Lepisosteus oculatus: one gene and its partner. The protein of the gene in region 1 interacts with the protein of each later gene in a pairwise test. Links are inferred from orthologs where the notes say so. Each region holds a gene or a part of one and is shown in the gene's direction. Other genes may lie near its edges. The genes, in order: plekha5 and pdzd11.

Region 1 (8,220 bases):
AATGAGAGCTGTACACAAGAGGCCTAACTAGTGCATTGTATAATTTCAACATTACTTTATTTAGCTTTTCTTGAGAGGCGTTGTGGGAATCGACAGTATAACTCAGTTTTTTCATTCTGTCAGTCATTCAGCAGCAGTCTAGTCAGAGCTGTCATTGAACAGTATTGTCAAGTTTTTTAATCCTCACTTAATTTTAAGAGAATGGAACAGTTATTCCCTTTTAAAAGAAATACATGGAAAGACGTTTTAAAAGAGATATTCTATTTTTTGCGGACTTGTACCCATTCTCCAGAATTATGTAGCACAATCCCTTTTTAAGACTTGGGATATTTGAACAGATTCAAACATAAATGATCGTCACCTCTTGTGATTCCCTCGTGCCATGCATTGCTACTTACTGCTGCTGTTTATGTCACGATCCTAATCCCTCCTCTTAAGGGCGCTCCAGCCTTTTCGGATTTTAGTTGATTTCGTGCAAATGCCCCGTTTTGTCCGTCTTTATTTAAGGCGGGCACTCCCGCTACGCTTGGCTCTGCCTTGGAAGACAGACGCCCAGAAGTCTGCCTAGCATCAAGATGCCCTACATCTGCGGCGTGAGGGCTTAGGCTTTGATCGGCGTCCACACCTGCTGAGTTCCGGACTCGGAGCTCCTGGCCTCATTACTGGTTTTATCCTCCTGGTTCCCTGTCCCTGTTCCGGATTTTTACCGTGTTTGTCTCGTCTCGGATTGTATCTTCCGGCCACCTGGACTCTGGACTGCGCCCTGTTTTTCCACTTTGCACCCCCACTGGACTTGTCTGCCTGCGCCACGCCCCCTGAGCGCCAGATCACAGCCGCCACGCCCCCCTGTCTGTCTTCCCGTCCTGCTCCTGCTGTGTTTCCCTAGAAGTCTTATTCCAGTCACTTCCAGCTTCCGGATTATACCGTCTGCACAGGGTCCCAAACTATGCATTGTGACAGTTTACTGGAGGGATGGATTAAATGGTTTAGTTAAGTCTGATTCTATGAATGACTTTAGTGTGAGACTGACTCAACATATGATGCATCAGACAACTGTCATGATGGGTGAGACACTGCGAGGCAGAGACTGGAAGAGTTTAATACTTTTCCCATTGCTTCCATATTTACCTTCTTCGGTAAGCGCCGAGATTCAGAACTGAAAAGGTTTGAAAGAGAGAATGCATGTTCACATTAAGCTCACAAACCTGGGGAAAACAACTGTTTCCTAACACAGTCGGGCTCTATTGCAAGTACAGTAAGTGTCATGCTTTTCTCAGTTACCACACTATGACATCTCTGTAGTTTAGACAGTGATAAGATTATTGACAGGAAGTAACCCTCCACCAGGACTATACCCATGTAAAAGTGTGAGTACTATAATACTTCAAATTTTGCCATCAGATGTTTCATATAGGGAGGCTCAATGGTTTGCATTATTGAGCCATTATTTCATTGCTACCTTGCAGTGCTGGGGCCCTGGGTTCAATTCCGGACCTCAGCAGCTGTGCGCATACAGTTTTTATGCTCTCTTTGCGTGGGTTTCCTTTAGGTGCTCAGATTTCCTCCCGCAATCCAAAGACATACTGGTGGGTTAAATGACCTCTGGGAAAATTGGCCCTTGTGTGAATGAGTGCGTGTTTCTGTCTGTGTGTGCCCTGAACTGGACTGGCGTCTCATCCAGGGCGTAGCCCACCTTGTGCCCATTGCTTGCTGGGATATAGGCTACAGCTCCCCTGCAACCCTGTATTGGATAAAGTATTTAGAAAAAAAATGCATGTTTGATATAGTTTCTTACATTGAGTGTAAATTTAGAATACTCACAGATGATTTTATAATACTACCTTAAACGATCCCTGTTCTTATCACTGTTGGGATGTGTTTATTGCAGTTCACATCAACTTTCACCGGACGTTGCGATATCATACTGTGCAAGGAAACAGATACAGCAGATTACTGACTCCTTTATTTTGTCTTTGAATTCTGTTTGCTGTGTCGTTGTGAATAGAAGACTGATGATTTTCACATTTTTTTGCCAAGGAGAAGAACTTACTTCCCATTTTGGAAAAAAAAGAAGAAGACATTAGGAGAAAATAATTTTGCTTAAACAGCTCTTATATAATGAGTGTGTTTTATACCATGAGAAAACAATTTACTGGTGATAAACTATTGAAGGGGAACTGCAATGCTATGTTGATATTTTGGGGTTAGAAAGAATTAGCATTGATGACTGCATTTCTACCCATAATAAAGATTTAATAAACCGTAATAAAGTAAAATGTACACAGTAACTTGTAAAACCTCCAATTTACACCAGTAGATGAGATTTCCAGGTACTGTATGCACAATGCCATATTCTGCGATTCAGAAGAAGGCAACAAAAGGTCCAGTGATGTGATGAGGCCTTATTACATTGTAAATAAGCAGGCTTGTGAATACAATCCAACAGAAATATTACCCTAGAAGGTTTTGCTGCTAAATGGAACTTGTTAACTCTGAGTGCAGATCACGATGGAAACTTGATGACTTTCTGCAGTGAAATATTTGTTGCATCTCCTGTACTTACTTCACTTGTGCAACCCATTACATTAGTCAGTGACTAGGGAGAAGGAAGGGCAAATTCACATAACAATTCTCGTCAATTCTTGCTGTCGCCCGTGGTGAGACATACTTTAATTTTAGAGGGAAAGGTACAATCCAGGTGTAGATCTATTAGCATATCCCCCAGTACTGATTAAAACATCCAATGTGAAGTGATCAGGTCGTCATTAGCCTTTTGAGTTCTGGCCTCGTCCGTTGTGCTGGATCCAACAACTATCGTCTTCAACGTGGGGGTACCAATATGATGTTGTACTGAAGGAAAATATACAGTACTACAGGATACCGACGTTTTAGCTTCTGTTCTGTCCTAAACAGACTACTGTTGCAAAGTATTTCCACGAAAATGAATGGAGAATACAGTAATTGCAAGAATACGATTCAACATGCGCGTAATGCACTGTGGTTTAATGATTAATATTTAATTACGTACAAGTGATAATAAAAAAGGACAAAACTTGATGTGATAGCCTCTTCTGAATGATTTACAGAAATCAATATACAGTTAGCACGGTTAATATTGTCCCACGCGATGTCTTTACTCATTGGTAAATCTGTTTTGACTGTGTGAATTTCCACTCAGATATTCTTATACCACTTCCTGTCTTCAGCTTTTAAAATTAGATGGATCTCTTTTCCAGAGCTACAAGTTTCCCACGATGGATTGGTTTTCATGTGTCTGTCTTTTCCTGGGAAAGAGATTAAGCAATAGAAGGTCTTTGCCGCCTAAATATGCAAATACCGATCGAAGCGCTTTAAAACCTGTAAACTCGTTATAATTACATTACACGAGGACATACGAGATTGTGTTACAACATAAAATCCACAGACTTGCAATCTGAAGTGTCACTGACGATGAATACATTTCACTGGTCGTATTTATTTGATCACGGTTGTAAAACATTAAGTGACAGGCGCAAACCTGTTCATACTGCACTGTATGTTGGAACGGTAACGCTAAGTAAAATAAATGATGTAATTCATTTCCGTCCAGAATTGACTGCACTGGTGATTCTTTCATTCATATCTCTCAGCCTACACAGATCTACAGTACGTCATCCCACTGGATCAAAATACCCCCCTTTGAAGCCCGCTGCTCAGTTTTCACAAGGGAAGAAGTCAGATTGTCACCTCGATCTCTCCACACTGAAGCGATCTCTGTTCTTGTCAGAAGTGCAGAAGAATTCCTTGTCAGACGAGCTCCATAATCACCCCAGTGTCTGTTCCGCGCAGTGCAGAAGCGTGCTCGTCTTGACTGGCACAATGCAAGCAGTGCTCTCACATGGCTTTGGAGCAGGGCGCCTGCTGAAGTTGCCCTTCTAGAGAAGAGGTCAGGGGTCATAACAAAACCTTCTGGAGAGCCGCAACTGGCCCTGGGTTCAGCCGTCTTTATCTTTATTGAATGAATGCACGCCATTATCATCGTCCCGCATTGTCGTAGAAAGCTGAGAGCTGCAAACACGAGGACATTTAGAAAGAAGCAAGATGCTAATGGGACATTACAGGTTTTATGTGTATGGATTTATTGTTAAGGACAGTTCACACACACACACACCTGTAAGGTTATTTATGAGACGCCTATTTTGCGGCACCGCGTCTGATGCTTTGCATGCGTTTTCCCCTTTGCTTTTTTAATCATTTTGTGAGGGAGACCAATCCCTTCATGTTGCAAAACCCCAAGAGGGAGACGTGACGCGGACGTCATCTCAGCATTTACACATCATTACTCGGTTACCTGCTTCGAGGCGGTTGCAGTTCGTTCTCTGGAAGTCACTTGTAGAGCCTTGGTTATCTTAAAATCTAAAATCAGGTTCACGGGAACTTAATCGAGGCAATAAAAATACAATGAGTGAACCATTCCCCCCCATAAAAGCTACAGACAGCAATGTGGAGAATACTGTACCTGCCTCATGTGTATCGGGATTAGTTATCCCCTATTTATTGCAATAGGTCCTGAATATATGACAGCTCGTTTCCAGACGTGGATTCATTTTCACCCGCTGCTCACGTCTGCATAAAACATGCCTCCAGATTTCCGCATGACAGGTCGGGGTGATCGCGAATCGACCAGTCTCTCTCCCGCTTCTCCCCGCTCCACGTGCTCACCCCCTGTCTCTTTAAGCACCCAGGCGATACCTGTCAGGAAAGGCGACAAGACACACCTTCCTTGTTTACACCACCCTTTTTATTCGAGCGGGGCTGAGAAGCCGACAGCAGCGCGACCAGTGAGCCGGGAGGCTGGCGTTTCGCAAGCACGCTCCCGCCCCCCCCTCCCCTCGAGAGGTCTGCCGCGCTCGGCGCGCTCTGCCTCCGACCCCGTTGCCTGGGCTCCCGTGTCCGCGCGGCGAGGACGCGCACTTCCAGCGCTGGAGATTGCCAGACATGGCGGCGGATCTCAATCCGGAGTGGCTGTCTTGCCTCCCGTCTTCTTGGAGTTATGGGGTCACCCGGGACGGACGTGTCTTCTTCATCAAGTAAATATCGAGTGGATACAGACCTTGGGATACATAGCCCTTTCCCCGGCTTGAATGTGCAGCTCACGCTGTTTTTATACGTTGTTTCCCTTTTTTTTTTATTTCTTACCCACAGCGAACAGGCTAAGAGTACAACCTGGTTGCATCCAGTCACTGGTGAGGCCGTAATTACTGGACACAGGAAAACTCCAGGTAAATGCTGCTTTGCCGCTGGCCGGGGCGCCTTTGCTGTGCACTGGCTTTGGTGTCGCGGAGGGACCAGGGAGGGCTTTAAGTCGCGTTTCCAGGGGTCTGTCGGTCGTGTCTCCAGAGTACTGCTGGTGTTGTTTACCGGTGTTCAAACATTAGGGCAAGAAATCTCAAGTGCGGCTGTCAGTGCACCAGCAGTGCTGGAAACGCACGCTCGCTCGGTAGCAGGTAAACGTGGGAACTAGAGACCGGCCAGAAAAAAAAAAGTAGTTCGTTCGTGTCGGAGAGACCTTCAGAATTGGTTTCAGGGGGTTGTCTTGTCATGTCATTACTTTTTTTTTTTGCGGTGGTGGTTGTGTTGAACGGTGCAACCTGCCACACGCGTTATAACGTAGCGTGGGGCGATCATGGATAGTCAAAAACCAGCGCCGGGGAAAAGTTGCCCCCTCGTCGCTTGGTTATTTTTTTTGTGTGTGTGTGTGTGCAGGCGGACTTTTGGTAGCAATCGGGTAGCGATCGCAGGTCGAGGAAGACGCCGCCGGGCGAGCGTGTTGTAGCTCGGTCAGGTAGCTGGAGCGAAGCGGGGGTGCGGCGGCGCTGGCGATGTGAGAGAGGCGCTATAAAAAAAAATAAAATAAAAATAAAATAAATGATCAAACCACGGGGAGCCCGAGACGCGAGGTCTTGCTTACAAATGAGCCTACGGCGTGTCGAGTCGGTGGACCCGCTGATTTCCCCCTAAAGGAAAGAGAGGAAAAAGGAGGAATTTCACAAATACTGTCCTGCGACGCGTGTGTTTGTTGCTGTTGACACGGAGCCGTGCGAGGAACAGGCTCTTATAAAATAGCATTACCCCCGCGTTTAAAAGCCCCGTACGCCCGTTCGCTCCGCGTAAAGGTTGTGCAGTTGTGGGGAAAAAAATGCGATGAGAAATGATCAGCCTGCTCCTCCGGTAGCGGTCTCGCCGGTTGTGTTATCACCGCTGGTGCTGCAGTACAGCGGGAGCGGTGGAAAACAGCCCAGTGACCCACTAATGGCACTGCGCATCGCTCCGCAGAGCAGGACAGCGCCTGCAGGTCACCAGCATCTGTCTCTCCCTGCTCTGTAAAGTTATAAAGTGTTTTTTTTTTTCTCTCCTTCTTCTGTTTTACTTAGACTTGCCCACTGGCTGGGAAGAAGGATTCACGTTCGAGGGAGCTCGGTGCTTCATAAAGTGAGTTGGCATCCACCCGCGAACAGCCGCCCGTGTTTAAAAAGCTGCGGAGTTTGGCGTCGTGCTTTTTGACACTTGGTGACTCTCGGAAAAGCGCCCCCCTCTCCCCTTTCCTCTACTGTCTGCCCTCTTTCCCTTTTGGGATGTTTGTAAAATCTCCCCCCCCCCCCCTTGGTGCTTTGCAAGGAGAGAGGGAAAAGTGCAGAAAACGAGGTATCTCTCCCAGAGCTCACCTTTACTGTCAGACTGAGCTCTAGTTTTGGAAGTCGGTGTGACTCAGCCCCCTCTCGGTTGAACAGGCTTGACTTGTATGACAGCACACCTCCTTCGGGACAGAACATCAGGTCTCTAGTTTGTACACGTTATTTCAGAGCCTTGGGTTTTTATATATATTCAAAAGCAGTGGATTTTGCCGTCACACTGCTGAAAGGTGATCTGGGCTGCAGAGACTTCAAATGCAAGCCTGAGTTTCTCTAAATGCTCTCTTTGGAGGAGAACGTCCCTGCTGATGGGTGCTGTGCATTTGCCCTGCATTGAAAGTGGTAAAAGTGGTTTTTTTTCATGCATCGGTGTTAAAGTCCGTATGGGGTGTTTGTTTTTTGGAGATGCTATGTGAAGCCATTTCTGTCTGGTGGTGAAGGAATGAACAGAAACAATTTCTTTCTCTTTTGAGTGTGGTGGATTTAGCCTTAGAATGTAGAGGAACAACTGGTGCAAAAAAAAAAAAGCTTTCTCCTCCCTGAAATGAGATAGGTTTAGTTATTTACTAGTTTAAATATGTTTAATGGAGGGCTATACAAATGGAAATGAGCATGCCAGAGATAATAGATTGTATGTTGTCCCTAGGCTGTTTTATGAAGGAAATATATTTGCTTTTTGCCAAGACCGATTATTGTGTCATTATTTTGTGTTTAGCTTTGGAAACACTTCAGCTCTTTATCAGTGATTCATTCATTCACACAAAGGATGCTTCCATGTCACACTCTGAGTTTTGTGGTGGAAATGATGTTAAGATGCACTATTCATTCTGTGCCATTTTTGGACAGCTGATAAAACATGATTTTTTTTTAAATTCGTAATTAGAGTGCACAATGGTGTCGGAGCCTAAGCTGAAGTTTATATGGTGTGAAGAGGTAGAGTGCAAGGTTGGGCTGTCAGTCGAGTTCTTTTTATCTTGTATGCATTTAAAAAAACATTATATAGGGTTCATGCACACCTGTCAATATAATATTAAATACACTCATCAAGATTCTTCATATTTAATATGATTTGAGCCTTTTGCATTCTGGAGAGTGATTTTAAAATGTACTGTACCTGTCATCTTGAAGACAAAAGTCACTTTTTAGAGGAAGGCGTTTGGCCCATCTATCCTGTTTGATATTTAGAGGCCTAGTGATCCAGGAATCTCATCCAGCTGTTTCTTGAAGGGTGTCAGGGTGTCGACTTCATCAAAGTGACTGGGCAGCTTGTTCCAGCATCTCTTTGTGTAAAAAGCATAAAGACGTGCCTCCTGTCCTGCTTGAGGGATCTCATTCATCTTGTTCTTGAAAGAACCCATGGTGCTGGCTTCAACAACAACAACTGCGGGGCTTTTTCTGACTTCTTGTTCTTGGGGAATATGTGTTTTTCAAACTGTATTAAAAATCATTAGTAGAATCATTAATCATTAGAGTTCACAAGGTCACATTTTGTGACCAGTTTGATCTTTTTAGGAAGAAACTTTTAGAAATCTTCAGCTAAATTTTGGTA
Region 2 (8,964 bases), on another chromosome or scaffold:
CCAGCTGAGGAGCAATTTTGTGGAACAAATACTCAAATGCTGAACTGATACTTTGTCAAAGCCTTCCTTGTCTGGCCGAAAAGGAAAGAGGTGTCTCAGTCAACTGCCTTGAAGACATTGCAACACAGATATGAATAAAAGTTGCTCGTCTTGTCTAACTAGCTAAAATCAGAAGTTCTTCCACACTTTCCAAGGCCAACCAGGGAAGCAGGAAGGAGCTACAACTGTTGTTTCTGGGCACTGAAATCAATAAATAAAAATAATCATAAATTGAAATTAGGTTCAATTTCAGACATTCAGACCAGACATTCCTCCTGGTATGATTACTAAGAGAACAGAAGTTACTGAAAGCTACAGTACCCATGTTCATAAAAGCAGGGGTGTTTTTACACCAGTATTACAGTTGAGTTTCTCTATGTTTACGCAGTCTGCTCTCCCAGGTTTTCCAATTTAATGTAATTGGTGGAGCTGTTTGTCAGCTGTTAATCTTGCTTAACCATCTATTGTCAGTGATTAAATATCAATCACAAAAATACAGAGCACATGCCCCCAGCTATTTATTTTTAAGGGGGACATTGGTTCATTCATAAAAGTATGCAAAACACAAAGAGTTGTGGGAGTCTGGAATCAGGTACTCGTACGAATGTCAGAAAGCACTGCCATGCACCTGGGCTCAAATCACCTAAGAAAAAGTACATAAGGCAGACAGGCCAAATGACCCCTGTCATTTTCAAACAATCTTATGCCTGTCTACTCTTTCCTGGTTAGGTGTCTTCTCCTTTGAAAAGTGGACTTTCAATCCAAAATAATTGTTTTGGCCCACTTCAGCTCTCCTCAGCGCAGGAGGGGCAACTCTTTTGACATCCTCCAGGCTCCTTCACCATCCGGGCATCCTCCGTCATCTCACCTGTCCTCGGGGGCTGCCGCTCACTCTCTGGCTCAGCCTGCGAATTTGCTGTCTCAGAATCCAGTATGTTATTTGATGACATCCTGCAAGAGACACGAACCCGTAAGGATTAGACCGATACTCTAACGACGTCTCAACAACACTGGGAGCTACAGCAGGAAGCTTCTCTACAGTACGTTTCCCAGGTATTGGTGAAGAAGTGACATTTGAATATACTTTATATCAGTTTAATGTGTAAAAAATGGCACTTTTAAACAGGCCACGCTTCATTTGTATTCAGAACAAGATATAACTGTAACTGTTCAGGTAGGGAGCTGCGTCAGCATGCGTAGGCTGCAAAGGAACAATATACTATAATAGGTTTATTCCATGCTGAAAAAAAGAAGAAAGAGAACACAACGTTTCGGCCGTGGAGCCTTCTTCAGGAGCCTTCTTCTCCACCTGAAGAAGGCTCCACGGCCGAAACGTTGTGTTCTCTTTCTTCTTTTTTTCAGCATGGAATAAACCTATTACTTGTTCCATAACTGTAACTGTTCCTTTTTTTCTGTTGGAAATGGCTCCGTCTCTTCTCAGCCCCCATCCCGAAGTTGAAGCTGTCTAGCCTGACAGGCGAATCCACTCTTCGGCGATCGAACGTCTCACTCACCTCCTGGGAACAGGGGGAGGGGCTGGTGTGCTTTCCACGGACCAAGTGTATCTGGCCCGAGGTTTGGGAACCGGGGGGGTCACCTCACTGTCAACGGGGGCTGACATCCTGGCCAGATCCCGACTGCGACTGGAAGAGCAAGAGAAGGACAGTCCGGACAGGCAGCGAGGAGAAATCGCGTTTCGGCTGCCAGCGGGGCAGGAAAGGCAGGGGAGTTCCTGGCCGTGTCACTGGATGAAACAAGACCCGCCCCTCCGCACGGCCTTCCCCCAGGCAGGTCCAGCTGTCAGCCTGTGACAGGACCTAACAGCCAGCAGCTCTGCAACACACAACTGGCTACACGCTGAAGCTCAGCAACCCACACGCTGCAGCGAGCAAACACTAAGAGCAACAAGCCACTGGAGCCAGTACCCGGAGGGGAGACACCTGGGAAATCTGAGGTTGCTGCTGGAAGAGGTGTTACTGGAACCAGCAGGGGGCGCTCACCCTGCGGTCTGTGTGGGTCCTAAAGCCCCAGTATACTGACGGGGACACTCTACTGTAAAAAGACAGTGATGAGACATAAAACTGAGCTCTTGACTCTGTGGTCATTAAAAAAAAGCGTAGGGTTGTTAGCCCAGTGTCCTGGCCAGACTCCTCCCCTGGCCCTTAAAAATCATGGCCTCCTAATAATCCCCATCCCTGAACTGGCTTCATCACTGCTCTCCTCGCCACTGAGAGCTGGTGTGTGGGGAAAGGACTGGTTTACTCTGGCTGCCGTCGCATCATCCAGGTGGGGCTGCACAGTGTGTCCAGAAAAGCACTATACAAGTGTAAGGAATTATTTTTAGGATTTCATTTACACCAACATGTAAGGGGGAAAAACACATTTTGAGGCACTTAGGAATATGACTGGAGAAGAAAAAGAGTCTGACTAGATTGGTACTTTCCAGGACCTGGACTGAGTCTCTTGCCATAATATAACTGACTTACTTTCATGCTCTGCAGCTCAATGTATATTTACTTATGAAAAAAAGAAGTTACATTAGTTAACCGCATGGTGCCTATTTTAATCCATTTTTACATAATGCTTGCTCACTTCAGTCATAAATGCCATCTGTAGATAAAAGCCTTCCAAAATAGTCCTGCCTATATCATTGGCATAACAGTGCACAGGATGGCAAAGAGTTAACAGTATTTTTTGTTGATGTTTTCTAGGGGGTTCAGGCTGAGGTTTGTTATCTGAGTATAAAGATTCAAGCGTTTTGCGCTGTCACTGCACAGTTCTTATCAGGTATTTGGTTGCAAAACAACACAGATCTGTGCCAATGCATTTCCCCAAACTTATTTTGCTGCCTGTGTGTCTATTTTCCCGGTATGTATTTTCATGTAAATGTATCAGATTGGTGCATTGGTGGGGTTTCAGGGGTTCAGTATTCTTGGGGTTCCAAAAATTAAAGCAACTATACCATCAAGCCACACACGGGTCACACGATCCATGCCGATAAAAAGTGCCTATCTCAATGCCTAGTCATCGTAATGCTTGAGTCTGACTTGCGGTTTTCAAAGTAAGATACGACAGCTTAAATAAGTAAGAGGGAACAAACATACTGAGCTGAATATTTCCCTAGAAAAGCATTTGCTTTCATTAACTGGGTCTATCAAAACAACTGAGGTAAATGCAGGAGGGTATTAAAATATCAAACTCAACGCGCGTAAACGGTGGGTACTTACAAACCCCAACACTTTAATTTCCAAACACGCGGTTAATTTCCAGACTCCACGCACGACTTTCTCTGCTCGGGCTTCAAACTGACAAATGCCCCTTTCCCCGCTTTCCAGTCCAACACAGGTGCAGCTAGATCTACCGGAGATCCTCTGGGCCGCTCGTCCGTCTCAGGAAGGACGACAGGAGCAGCCGTCAGACGCTCTCGGGTCCTAACGTGGGGAAGGATGAGGCGAGGGAGGGAGCCATGCCTACCTTCTCGCGGCTCCTGGGCTTCGGGGTTCTGTCCTGCGCAGCGAAGTCACCCCGTTTCCGTGACTGTAGTGGGTCTGGGCTCGCGGCTGGTCGCGTCACCGGCTGATTCACCCGTTCGACCGGTTTCGGCGACTCGGCAGCGCTGACACGATGCACGCCCCTGACGTGAACAAAAAAAAAACTATCAATAAACAAACAAGTATCTTCTGCCCGAGAAAATCTAATTGTTTCCTGGATATGCTCATGATTCATAGGCGTTTAGGTGTCAAAAATGAAACGGACAGCCCCAGTTCCGTACTGTAGATTACGATAGTAATGTAGTTCAGGTGGGGAGCTGCGTCAGCATGCGTAGGCTGCAAAGGGACACGTTAATAGGTTTATTCCATGCTGAAAAGAGAAGAGAGGAAACACAACGTTTCGTCTGTGAAGCTTTCTTCGTGTGTGTTGAAGAAGGCTTCACAGCCGAAACGTTGTGTTTTCTCTCTTCTTTTTTTCAGCATGGAATAAACCTATACTTACGATAGTAATGAACACTGTAAGGGCTGGTTTCATTACGACGGCTCTAGAGGTGATAATCTAAATAGCATGACAAGGCAGACCAAGATGACAGCTAACCGCTGTCTGTGAAAACAAGAGTGTTTGCACATAGACTACGTGGAAAATTCTACGGTACTGAAAAAAACAACATAGATATATATACTGTAAAACATTTATGTGAGCATATTTTTATAAATGTAAAAATACGGTACGTGGTAGATTTGTGAACTATTTTTTTTACTTTGAAGAAAGAACGGTAGCGATGATGAAATATTCGACCTAAACGTGGCATAAACGCCTTTTACAGTTATTTTACCCCTGGCGTTTACCAGTCATGGCCTCCCCATGATCCCCATCTCCGAACTGGTTTCATCCCCCTGCTCTCCTCCCCACTGAGAGCTGGTGTGTGGGCAGAGGACTGGTGCATCATCCAGGTGGGGCTGCACACTGGTGGCGGAGGGGAGTCCTTTGAGTGGAGTGTCCAGAAAGCGCGATATACTGTAAGTGTAAAGAATTATTATTATTATTATTATTATTATTATTATTATTATTATTATTATTGTTCTCAGTATTGAAGACTAAAAAGGTTCAGTTCAAAAGTCAGAATGTCAGTTTAGGTAAATTACTTCAGCCTAGAAATATATGTGGGTATTCTTTTCTGGACTGATTCCAGAGTAACAAAATATTTTCCGATGTAGTGGCCATAATTCCCCAAACTCTTGGGGATTCTTGCTTTGCGCCGTAATGCCCAACATATTCTCTCAATCACTCAGCTGTGACGGACCGCACGGGGGCAGGCGCTTCCAGTCATGTGACAGTGGAGGCCGGTCAGCTGACGAGGGAGGGGGTGGGCGTGGCATGGACTGAGGCTGGCAGGGAGCGACTTGACTTCCGCTTGGTGAGATCGGAATTTTCCAACCTGTAATGTTATATAACCCAAACTGTAAGATCGCCGCGGTTTGATTTCCCTGCTCGCAGATGAGGAGTGAATGGGTTTAGTGTAGCGTGTAGCACCTGAATCAGGTAAACAGGACGTACTGATTTAAGGCTTAGGTTCAGGGACACCCGCTGCCTGATGTTTTTTAGTAGGCATGAACCACCCGATAGCTCTTGGAATTTCAAACTGATATTTACCCTGCGCGCAGAGCGGCGAGGGTGATTTGTGTATAAAACGGTGTCATCTGTTACAGTTAAAGACGGTTTTGTCGACTAGGAAATATAATGCGTTCGTAGCTTCGGCTTAGTCCTTGCTCATTCTTTAATACGGAACCGACCCTTCGCGGTGGCTGTCCGCGACAGATGCTTTATTTCACTCAGATGTAATGTCAACACGCAGAACTCCCTCTTCTGAGCGGCCGCTAAATGTTCATCTGCTCACCCCCAGGTGAAGGATACAAGCAGCGTTCTTCTCGTTATGACACGGTTCAGTGAAAAGTATTTTGATGAACAAGATCTCCCATGTATCTCTCCTGCATGTCTTTCAATTTCTCACCCGATTCCGCGACTTTGAAACTTTTTTTTTGGGTGTGTGAAAACTGGCGATAAATGATTTTACAGCAGGGTGGTTAAACGACTTGCGCAACTGATCTAAGGGATGTTGTTTTAAAGTGCGGTAGGCAAAATTAATTTCAGGGAGTGAATCCGGTAGTGCAGGTAGAATCATGTCATTCTTAACGTTGTTTTCCGCAGGAAATTTGCCTGACGTGTTTTCCTTCAAGGTGTGCTTCGTGACTACGATTCAGAAATGACTATATCTCCGAATTTACAAAAAAGAGACCGGGGAAAATATAGAGCGTAATAAACAGTACATTTCAATTTACGCTTGTGTAGATATTAACGATGGAAAAAGTTCTAAATCATTTTACAATAAAAAGAGTACAATAAAAAACACATAGAATTCAAGAATCACCGCTAACAACAATAACATTTGATCAGTTCAAATTGTGCATGCAGATGGAAAGACAAAAATGTCTTGAGATTAGCTTAAAAATAGCAATGGTGTGAGAAAGCAGACACATTTTGAGCAGGAGTTTCCTGTGATCTGGGTATAGACAGAGAGGGCTTAGGAGACAGACCAGAGCCCAGCTGCTGCAGAGTTCTGAGCAGACTGAGGACGAGTAGAATTAACATGGGTTCCTGGAACAGCGGAATCTAATCCTTTATCCTCTTGTTTTAAATGCAGGTTCTTATTGCAGTTTGTTTATTTGTCTGCAGTCTGTTTTAAATGCAGTTTGTTTTATTGGCTGAATATTAATTCCAAACATGCACTGAGGGCCTTCTGCTTTCCTACAATATCATTCACAGTTATTGTTATAACCTTGTCCAGCAGCTTTTGATTACTGTTCAAAGGGGCAGTGTTCCAGTGTGTTTCGAGTACTGTGCACATGGCTAGTTTGCTTGTTCCAGACACCCACAACCCTCTGTGTAAAGAGGTTCCTCCTGTTCGCAGTCCTCAGAGCCTCGGTGTTGTGGCTTGTGACGGGTGTGGCACTCATGGACCAGAAGATTCCCTACGATGACTATCAGCTCCCGGTGGTCTTCCTGCCTTCATATGAAAACCCCCCAGCATGGATACCCCCACAGGAGGTATTTTCAGGGACTTGATGTCCCACAGCCCCTGCAGTGTCTAGCAGTCTGTCTTTTACACATCAGACTTTCTTTAGCTTGCTTTTGGTTAAGGTGTTAAGGGTTTGAGGTTGAAAATGGTTGTGATTAAACATTTGCCTTCAGGTGGTCTTCCAGAATTTTGACTTGTGTTCTAGTTTTACATGGGTGTGTCGGAAACCTGCCATGAGAATATTTGAAGCACAGGGACAGCAATTATACAGCTATTCACACCCTTGTGCATCTCAGCTGAATATCACAGACTTTCTCTTTCATTATTACCAGTTGTTCTACTTTTTATTCAAGTTTGCATTCGGCTTGACACACTAGTTTTCAGCTAGTAGACCCGCTTAACAAGATATACAATATTACAAAAAATACAAATGACAGTAAATGAATACAGTTCATCCAGTGCGGGGGTGGCCAGCCCAGGTCTCAGAGAGCTGAGGTCAATCGTGGGAACTCGGAAGACCCTGTGGCTTTCCAGGCCCGCAGGTGCAAATTCCTGATTTAATTGATCCAATTAACTGGCCGGGCGACGTGACCCTCAGAAGCCGGTGCTGTCAGGTCAGGTCAGGTCAGGTCAGGGTGAGCTCTGGGGGGCCAGCCCTGCTCCAGTGAAGCCTGTGTGGTCCTGCTCTGTGTGCCGGCCCAGTGCCTACAGAATCCTCCTGCCGTCCCCTCCCCAGCGGATCCACCACCACGACTACAACAACGAGCTGTCGCAGTTTCTGCCGCGGACCATCGTCCTGAAGAAGCCTCCGGGGGCGCAGCTGGGCTTCAACATCCGCGGGGGGAAAGCCTCCCAGCTGGGCATCTTCATCTCCAAGGTGGGCCCCCGGCTCTGCGCTGTTGGGATGGCAGCCCCGTCGTAGCTTGACAGACCCCTCTCCCCCTCGGTGCTGACGGGCCGGTCCCTTCTCTCTGTGCGCCGGCAGGTGGTGCCCGACTCGGATGCCCACAGGGCGGGGCTGCAGGAGGGGGACCAGGTGCTGTGTGTGAACGACGTCGACTTTCAGGACATCGAGCACTCGAGGGTGAGCCTGCCAGCGCGGCCCCTGCGCTCTTCCTGACTGGGGCTCGTGCTCCGCTCAGAGCCCTTAAGACCTTCTCACGGGAGGAGCTTCGGGTCCCTGTGAACACCGGCCACCGGAGTGGCTCAGTATCCGCGCTGCCGGGGTGTATGAGCTCATGGTGCTCGAGTCTGCGTGCTGTGGAAGGTGCGCTGCACCTCCAGCTTTGTGCTGGCTGATCGCCCTCTTGCGCAGTGATTTTTTTCTTGCGCTTCGCACATAATGTCATCACTGTAACCCAGATGCCCCTGGGCGTCTGCTCAGCAATAAGAATCATCCTGCCAGTACTATGGGTTATGGCTGCAGTTTGGCTCGTGCCGCTGTTATGGGTCTGGGCTGGCAGGAGGAGTGAAGCCCTGTGCTGTGTTAACGCTTTCAGTGTATCAGTGTTCAGGATTATGGTTTTTCATACTTATTCTGCCCTTTTTTTCCCCTTGCCTCCCCCAGGCTGTGGAGATTCTGAAAACTGCCAGAGAGATCCTGATGAGGGTGCGCTTCTTCCCCTACAGTGAGTACGGCTCTCGCGCCCCTCTCCCAGTAGCAGCCTGTCAGTGGCTTTGCTTGCTTTCGTTTCTGTTTATCACCAGTGCACGCTGAATTTGAAACCTTTTCACTTTCACAACAAAATTGGGCAAAAAAGAGCCCTCCAGCCTCACCAGCCTGAATGTTCAGTGCTTCACGGCCTCTGCTGCTGGCTGATGAACAGATCTTCAAGCGTGTGTCCTGCAGGTGGGCAGAACGGAATGGTTTGCATGCGTCGTTATCCAGCCCCAGCGGAATGACACGAGCCCGGCCTGCAGTGAGAGGGGGACGCGGAGCAGGTTTTTCTCCCGTCCTCCAGACACGCAGAGGGGGAAGACCTTCAGGCTTCCCCCAGACAGCCGATGGCGAGGCCTTGCCGTGGTTCCCAGCCCTGTTGGCGTTGGCGTGTGTGAGCTTGACCTTCTGGCTGGAGGGGGTGTTCACATCCTTTGCCACCCCTGGGGAGGGAAGATGAATGCTCCAGTTCTGCACATCCTCGAGCTCTTGTTAGGGGGGAATAATTAAAGGCAGGATGGTTCTCGTGCAATCGTTTAATCCTTAAATTGATGATTTAGCATGGTTTTGGACTAGTTCATTTTAGGAGAACTAAAGGCCCACTGCACAAAGTCCAGCTCGAAATGATCATCTTTACTACTAATCTTTTTCTGTGCAGGGACGTGCTTGATCAAATACCTAATCTTCTGTGGAATGAGTA

Evidence for each region.
Region 2: the proteins of plekha5 (region 1) and pdzd11 interact in binary tests that used the Homo sapiens proteins (3 or more experiments, as listed by UniProt). The two-hybrid records come from large-scale screens. The link is inferred for Lepisosteus oculatus from reciprocal best matches to the Homo sapiens genes PLEKHA5 and PDZD11.

What each region holds. Positions count from the first base shown.
Region 1 is NC_090702.1:49,614,010-49,622,229, forward strand, and holds the start of plekha5 (pleckstrin homology domain-containing family A member 5), read left to right. Parts: upstream 1-4,879; 5' UTR 4,880-4,977; coding exon 4,978-5,069; intron 5,070-5,184; coding exon 5,185-5,261; intron 5,262-6,413; coding exon 6,414-6,471; intron 6,472-8,220.
Region 2 is NC_090703.1:49,864,291-49,873,254, reverse strand, and holds the start of pdzd11 (PDZ domain-containing protein 11), read left to right. Parts: upstream 1-5,102; 5' UTR 5,103-5,412; coding exon 5,413-5,434; intron 5,435-6,499; coding exon 6,500-6,636; intron 6,637-7,309; coding exon of another isoform or gene 7,310-7,343; coding exon 7,344-7,484; intron 7,485-7,592; coding exon 7,593-7,691; intron 7,692-8,174; coding exon 8,175-8,235; intron 8,236-8,964. Other genes in the region: arf-GAP with Rho-GAP domain, ANK repeat and PH domain-containing protein 1, read right to left, coding at 908-990, 1,554-1,660. UniProt on the Homo sapiens protein: Mediates docking of ADAM10 to zonula adherens by interacting with PLEKHA7 which is required for PLEKHA7 to interact with the ADAM10-binding protein TSPAN33.